Linked DNA regions of Sus scrofa. The protein of the gene in region 2 purifies or fractionates together with the protein of the main gene of each other region. This does not show direct contact. Links are inferred from orthologs where the notes say so. Each region holds a gene or a part of one and is shown on either strand. Other genes may lie near its edges.

What was found.
Region 1: the proteins of TULP3 (region 2) and TTC21B purify together in Homo sapiens (affinity purification with mass spectrometry; 5 studies listed by BioGRID and IntAct, counting the BioPlex papers as one, with this or other methods). This does not show direct contact. The link is inferred for Sus scrofa from reciprocal best matches to the Homo sapiens genes TULP3 and TTC21B.

Annotation. Positions count from the first base shown.
Region 1 is NC_010457.5:72,509,651-72,514,181, forward strand, and holds the start of TTC21B (tetratricopeptide repeat protein 21B), read right to left. Parts: upstream 2,854-4,531; 5' UTR 2,719-2,853; coding exon 2,698-2,718; intron 1-2,697. UniProt on the Homo sapiens protein: Component of the IFT complex A (IFT-A), a complex required for retrograde ciliary transport and entry into cilia of G protein-coupled receptors (GPCRs). Essential for retrograde trafficking of IFT-1, IFT-B and GPCRs.
Region 2 is NC_010447.5:67,200,962-67,204,355, forward strand, and holds the end of TULP3 (tubby-related protein 3), read right to left. Parts: intron 2,892-3,394; coding exon 2,766-2,891; coding exon of another isoform or gene 2,758-2,765; exon of another isoform or gene 1,049-2,757; coding exon 957-1,048; 3' UTR 719-956; downstream 1-718. UniProt on the Homo sapiens protein: Negative regulator of the Shh signaling transduction pathway: recruited to primary cilia via association with the IFT complex A (IFT-A) and is required for recruitment of G protein-coupled receptor GPR161 to cilia, a promoter of PKA-dependent basal repression machinery in Shh signaling.

The DNA.
Region 1 (4,531 bases), on a different chromosome or scaffold from region 2:
CTAACTCTCCAGAAAGGCAGTGGGATGGTATTACCAAAAAAGACATGGATTTTTACAGTGAAAAGACCTGGTTTCAAGTTTCTGGTTCATCTTACAGCACCTCAGTTTGCTCATTTGTAAAATGCTGTTAGATCATTCATAGGTCATTGTGAGGATTAATTAAGACATTATACTCCAAAACTCCGGGGGGGGGGATGTTTCTCCAAACCCCATATGTTGAGGACATAAAAACCATATATCTGTTCAAGACCTCTCATCACAGCTCCAACTCTTATTTCCATTTGCCCAGCCACCCAAGCCAGACACCAGTCAGGAGTCCTCTCTTCCTGTTTGCATAGTCAGTCCCCCTAAGTCTAATCAGTCAGGAGGTCCTTCTGTTTCTCTAGTCTACCTCATACTCCTGCACCTGTTAACCACTGCCTTGGATCAGGCTAGGCTATTTGGTCCAACAAACATTCACTGCCTGCCTATGAGTGCCAGGCACTGGGCTAGGTGCTGTGAATATGAAGGGGAGTGAGATATGGATGCTGTCCCAGAAAAGCTTAAAATTTTCAACTGAGACTAGAAATCTAAAGACCATTTGAAGTCTAACAAAGTAAATGCCAGGAAAGAACTTATTAATTGCCTTTGGAATGTAAGGGAACGAGGTTGGGGTGTGGGAGGGTGGAAGAGTAAAATTAAGGAAAAGATTCTTGGGGAGGACTTCAGAACTGACTCGCTTTGCAAACTCCTGCTCCCCACACATACAGACTCTTCCTATTCCTCTTTCATGATTCAGAAACTGCAACAACACAGAGGTAAGAAATGAGCAATGAGACAGGGGCTGGGGTGGGGGTAGAGAGGACTCAGTCATCCTGTTCGCTAGAGAAGAGATGGGTGCACTATGGTCTGTGGGCCATGTCTGGCCTGCCAGACTGTTTTGATATGGCCAGCAAGTCAAGAACAGTTGGTTCATGTTCAAGCAGTTGAGGACAAAACCAAACAAGCCAAAGAAGAAAAGTATAACATGTGGAAGTTACATGAAATTCAAACTCCCTTGTCTAAGTTAAGTTTTATTGGAACAAAGCCACACTCAATTGCTTTAGTATTGTCTATGGCTGCTTTCATGCAATGATGGCAGATCCGATGCCACAGAGACTCTATGGCCCATAAAGCCTGAATATGTACTAACCGGCCCCTTATAGAGAAAGTTTGCCATTTCCTGTCCTAGAGTTTTAAGTAGAAAACAGATTATTGGATGATGAGATTGGAGAGAAAGCGAGGGTCAAGAAGGACCTCATAGTGACTTGATTCTCTAGTCTAAGTGATGAGGAGCTAAATAATAGCTTGTAGCATGAAAGTCTTTGTTAAAAAAGTTCATTTGGGGGAGTTCCCACTGTGGCTCAATGGTAACAAACCGGACTAGTAACCATGAGGATGCAGATTCGATCCCTGGCCTTGCTCAGTCTGTTAAGGATCTAGTGTTGCTGTGGCTGTCGTGTAGGCCGGCAGCTGCAGCAGCTCCAATTGTACCCCTAGCCTGGGAACTTCCATGTGCCTCGGGTGTGGCCCTAAAAAGCAAAAAAAAAAAAAAAAAAGTTTATTTAATTTGTATGGCAGGCAGTACAAAGCATGTATTTAAGGGGATGAAAATCCTTAAGGGGTTGAGGGATGTCTTCACAGGAAGATGATGTAAAACTTCAGGCAAAAAAGCAAAAGACACTCCAGCACTCTCCATTACTGCCAAGTTGTCCTCCATCTGCTTATCAGCAATTAATATGGTGCACATTTTATTTACCTGTTTACTGACTGACTCCTCCTACTCAAATGTAGAAAGATTTGGGAGGGTTTTTCTTAGCTTTGTTACGGCAGGGTTTATTACCTTCAGGACTTAGAATAGTGCCAGGCACACAGGAGGCATTCAATAAACATTTGTTAAATTAATTCAATTAAGGTTTTCTCCAGCATCAGGCTATAAAATCTGTGAAGACAGGGACTATTCCATTCTGTTCATCATGATCTCCAGCTCCAGTGGACACGCAGTGAGCCCTCCATCAGGATTGAACAAGGGAAACAGTGACTAAATAAATATCATCTTAAAACGTAACTTTCATTTTTAAATCTCATGCCCTTAATTGCTTTCGAATCATCATTTCTTAAGTGGAAAGTCGTTAAATATTTGCTGAATGGATGAATCATTGATAAACAAATAGAGAAGACCATCTCCCTCAAGTAAAGACTCCCCTATTTTCAAGCCTCTGTCTTTAATTGACTTCATATACTGTTTCCGTGCTCCTTTTACCTTCTCACAGGGGTGGGGGGTGGGGGTGGCACTACTATGCTCTAAGTCCTAGAAAATCCGCACCCGGGAGGGGGATTTTGAGTCAAATGTTGACCAACTCTTCCGAGCCAACAGGGTACAAAAGTAAAAGCAAACACAATGAACAGAGTGGGAGGCTGGGACAAACACAGTAACGACAATTCGGAAAGAAGCGCGCGGGGAAGACTGATCCCGACCTAAGGATTACAGGGCGGGGCGGACGGAAGCAGGTGATCCAGGTTACAGGCCTGCGCCCCGGGCCTGGGCTCTGATCGCCAACCTGGGCTGCATACGCCGCAGGGTAACAACGGCCTGGCCAAGTCGGCCCGCGCGCTCCCCAAGCCCCCCAACCCCTCGCCACCCCTACAGCAACACACGGTCAGGTCCTGCCCGCTCACCTGCAGCCCCTGCGAGTCCATGGCTTCCCCGAGGCCTGGCCGCAGGCCTCCTGGGCGAGCGCCCAGCACTACCCAGCAGAGAAGACCGGAGCTCAGAGCCGCGGCGCCCAGGCCCAAACCCGCTCCGGACGCGGAGGGAGGGGCGGGGGGGGCGGGGTCGCGCCGCCAATGGCTGCCGGCGCGAGGGGGCGGGCCCTCGCTGCAGGGATTGCGGGGTCCCGGCGGGGGCGGGGACCCGGAGGAGCGCAGAGGACGTGGAAGGGGTTGAGGCCGGATCGGATGTTGGGGATGGAAGGGGAGGTCAAACAGGGAAACGACCTTCGGCGGACCGCGGGTGGGCGGGCCCGAGGGTAAGGAATTAAAGAACGAAGGAAATAGAAAAAGTACAAGTGTTTCCCATTACAGTCTACAAAGGAAGGCACCATTTTCTACACGTTTGTGTAAAGACAGGTTCCCGCAATGCGGCTGTTTGATAGCCTGACCCTCTCAAGAGAAAAGCCTTTACCTTTCACATGTAGTATTGTATTTGGCCACAAGGTGGCGCAGAAAAATCACGCGTTCTTAACAGAAAGAGAAGCTTCTTGGGCCAATCTTTGCAGGCATTGCTGCAATCCCATGTTTGTTGTTTAAATGCACATTAAATTAGTCCTTTTTTCCCCCACCCCGGATAATGGGAGGAACAAATTAAGTAAACACATTTTTTCAGTTTTTAAAAATACTGCTAATTTTAAACTAAGAATGAAATTAATCCCTTTACAAAAGTTTGTGTTTATATTGATCAGGTAACCTTCAGTTGCTTACAGATTTCTTCAGTTATTTTAGTGAATTAAATTAACGTATAATGAACTAAGAGATTTCCTAGTTCTGCTTAAAGACATTTTAAAAATAAGATTTAAAGTTTAATCTTTGTAGAATCTTTTACATAGATTCCAAATTCCAATCCTAGTTCTAATTATCTTACTTTGGTTGATATTATTCGTAGTCGCTTAATCAGACTTGAAGTTTGTTAAGCCATCAACAAACATTAACCTTTTTTCACGCCAGCAGTTTAGGTAATAACAACCTTGAAGGAGAGGATGACTACTAACACAGACTTTAATGCTCGGCAATATTTCTCACCGCTTTCCCTTAGAAGAGCATTCTACTCAAAGAGGAATGTATTTTTTTCATGAAGACTGGGATTTTTTGTTTGTTTCCATCATTCATAGTCAAGCTAAATGTTTGTGGTGATAAGCAACTGGTAATGCCTGCTGGTCTCATTTTCAAAGCCTGTGGATTAATGTTACACTTGATATGCAACACAGAATACTACAAACCAAGGTGCTTGTCCTGAAATGGAGTTTTAACTAAAGAACAACCCCCCCCCCTTGGCTAAGAAGGCAGCTGCAAGCCTTTCCAGCTATGTTCCTCACTATACCACCCTTCTTGTAATAATGTAACAACTGTGTGCCCTCTGTCCAAGCCAGCAGCCCTGCTAATCATGTACCCCCAGCATTGCTTATCAGTTCTCCTTCTGTAACCTTGCTTGCTCAGTTTCTTAGGAAGGAACACTGTCTGCTTGGGGATGGGTGGGGGGGGAGGTCCAGGATGCTTACATGGGAAAATCAAGACCTTGTAGTGTGTAAAAGTTACTGAGAACAAAGACCTGGTGCTCAGACTCTGGAGGTGACTCCTCTGAGCCTGCACCAGTGCTGAATAAACCTTGCTTTTCCCTATCTCTGAGTGCTGTTTGTCTCCTTCCATTGCCACAGTTTTTTGCGGTTTCCGCAACAGTCCGAGTATACAAGCTTAAACTGATACTTCTGGTATTAAGAGTTTACCTGAAAGAAAATAT
Region 2 (3,394 bases):
ACCAGTGAACTACTCCTGGTCACTGAAAAGCATATAAAACTGGCACAAATAACCTGTGGCCAAAAAGAACCATGTGAAAAAGAAAAACCAAACTATAAAAATGAGACCAACCCCAGCTCCCTCTGCCCCCTCCCATGTGACTCCTCATCCTTGCGACACTCACAAGCAAGGAGGCCTTGTAAAGACTTGATTTTGGGGTGGGTTTTACCCACTGAGCAAGGCCGGGGATCGAACCCATGCCTTCATGAATACCAGTCAAGTTTGTTACTACTGAGCCACAACAGAAACTCCAAAGACTTGTGAACATACTTTTTGCTCAGCTTGTCTGCATAAGAAAGCTTTATGTATGAACACTGACAGCAAGAGGGTCTATTTCACCACCAGGTATTTAATCTGTTCTGCTTCTGAATAAGGACACAGTAGCAACACAGACGCCCCAGGGGGCTGGGCGGGACAGGCCTCACCCTCTGGGCCCCTCTGTGCTCAGGCTCAGCTGCCACCCACCCGTCCAGGGTACTCCTGGTGCAGGATGGCTTGCGTCTCCAGGACACAGACTCCTGCTCTGCCCTGGGATGAAGGCTTACGCTCATGCTCACCTGGCTTCAAAGAACTGACTAGGTCACTGCTGCAGGTGATGATGAAGCTACTGTGACACAACAGGACTGTCTGAACCTTGCAAGGGATGGGGCTTTGAAAAAAGAATGGCAACACTCCTAGATACATTTGTATATAAATCATGTTTTCACTTCCATAGCATACAAAAGGTATAAATATGATTCATGTAAAATCAATCGCCTGCACATTCAAGCAGAAAGTACATGAAGCTGGGGCATGTCTGTGAGCCAGGGTGGCCGGAGGAAGCAGGGTCAGAGGTCGGAGGCAGTTCCCCCCTCCCCAGCCTCCCCCCGGACACTTCACATTCTGGCAACTGGAGAGGAGTGGACAGCCTTCTGCGGTCAGCGAGGCGGTGCGTCAGATGGCACGTCAGGCCGCTGGGGTAGGAGGCTGGAGAGCTCGCACAGCAGTGAGGCACTTGAGCGAAGCAGGCCTGAGGGGGACCAACAGCGTCAGACTGAGCTGGCGGGGCTGGGCTTGCCTGTGGGGATGAGCCCAGGTCTCCTTCCTGCTGCTGCTGAGCTGCTGCTGGCAGGGAGCTGTGGCGGGGAGGGGGCAGAAAAGGAGCCCACAGCAGGGAGCCGCACCCCGGGGCTGGCCGAAGCTCAGGGCACGGGGCTCTGGAGCCAACCGCCACCAGGGCAGGGCTTCCCGCATTCTGGATCCTCAAGCCTCAGGCCCACTCAGAGGCTGTGAATGGGCACAGATTCGCGGGATTTGCCGGCAGAGGCTAAAACTCTTACAAACTCAGAGGAAAAGTGACACGATGTGCACAGATGAGCCAGGCCCCAGGGTGGAGGAGACCTCTCATGGAGAGGGGTCCCAAGCTCTTGACATCACACACTGTCCCCTCCCCTCCCAGGCGGCTGCAGGAGCTCAGCAGTGGGAGGCACTCCTGGCTGAAAATGATGAGGGCCGGGGCCAAACACCCAGCCTGAACTAAACTGTCACCTCCAGAGCTGCTGTGCCCGGCCTACACCAAAATTAAGACAAAGACGGTAAAGCTCTCACATTGCTCAGCACCAATCTGGCCATAGCCACTCCGGCTAAGGCTGGAGCCCGCCAGCTGGCCCTGGGCAGGGGAGACTTTGACATAGTGCCTTCCGAGCCCCATGGGGAAGACAGCAAGCCCTGAGGGGTGGGTGCCACATTCCCCCACAAAGCAGAGAGCCGAGCACTGCTCCCCGGGCCCTTCCCCACATGCTGGGTGGTCGACAAAGGATCACTGACATGATACCATGGAAACCGTGGTCCCCAACACACGGTACAAGCTACATGACAGTGGAGGCCAGGGCCCTCCTCATATCCCTTTTGGACTGTGGCTTCCTAGGGGCGGCCACCCCCACTCAGTGCCTTCACGACCTTGGACCCATCCTGGAAAATGGCCAGGCCCACACCTGGGGAGACTCCTGGGCAGGGCAGGGCCAGCCTGCTTCCCGCAGCACAGCCCCGCCTCCAAGGAGGGACCAGCCACGCAGGGATGAGCGGGGGAGACACCGTCTGGCCGCTGACCTGGATACCAAAGTAATTCAGGGAACTGGCCCTTTCTGAAAAGATCTTCAAGAAAAGAGACCCATGGGAGTTCCCGTTGTGGCTCTGCGATAACGAACCCGACTAGCATCCATGAGGACTCGGATTCGATCCCTGGCCTTGCTCAGTGGGTCAGGGATCCGGCATTGCCGTGATCTGTGGTGTAGGTCACGATGCAGCTCAGATCCCAAGTTGCTGTGGCTGTGGGGTAGGCCAGCAGCTGCAGCTCCAATTCAAGCCCTAGCCTGGGAACCTCCATATGCCGTGGGTGCGGCGCTAAAAAGCAAAAAAAAAAAAAAGAGAGAGAGGCCCGAGAACCTGATCATTAGAAAAGCTGATTCTGGCTGCAGGTTTCCAAGAACAGGACTCGGCCTCTGGAGGTGCAGAAGCTGCCGGGCAGGTGCTGGGCAAGCTCTCACCCAGGTTAGGCTGCGAGCCCCAGAGGAGGGGTGTACATACACGTGTACACACATGTGCGTGTGCACACTACGTGCTTTCAGGGGTCAGGCCCAAAGAGGCAGGCTGTCACTCTTCACATCCTGGGGCAAAAGCAAGGGTGCGGCTGCCTGTTCCGGAAAGCTCTGGGAGAGAAAGCCCAGGGCTGCTTTTCTCTCACTCACAGGCCAGCTTGCTGTCGAAGCTAGAGAGCCCGATGGCAAAGGCCTGAAGTGCACACAGCGGGTAGTTGTAGTCCAGCGTGAACACGTCGTCCGCCACGCGTCCAAACTGCATGACTATATAGTCGGCTAGAAGAAGGAAGAAATTAGGACGTTAGGAGGTAAAGTGCTTGTTCTGGGGAAAGGCCCGTCTTGGATGCAGACAAAGATCCTCCAAATAGTCAGTTAATCACCAGGTCTGTCTAAAATGGGAAACTTTTAGAAGGATGGACAAAGGCATTCACAAGAGTGGCTGCCAACCATGAGCAAAGTCTGTCCTGCAATTCCACTCAGGCCCAGGGCCCGGGCAGCAGGAGAGGGGCCTGCTGGGAGCGGCCAGGAGCCTTTACTGAAGAGGGGTCTTTGTGTCTGCTTCCCGAACAGCCTCCCCCTGGACTTCTCTGATTTGCCACAAGATCTCTCACACTCTCCTTCCCTCCTCGAGTGGTTCACAAGTTTGACTGTAAAACTGCAAACACTCTGTCTTTCCAAAGAAATCTGCTTTCTCAGATCCTTCTCTCCCAACTAAGGCTTCCCACCAGGGATGGGAACGCTCACTTCCTCCAATCCCCAGGCCACCCTTCCTGCGGGCT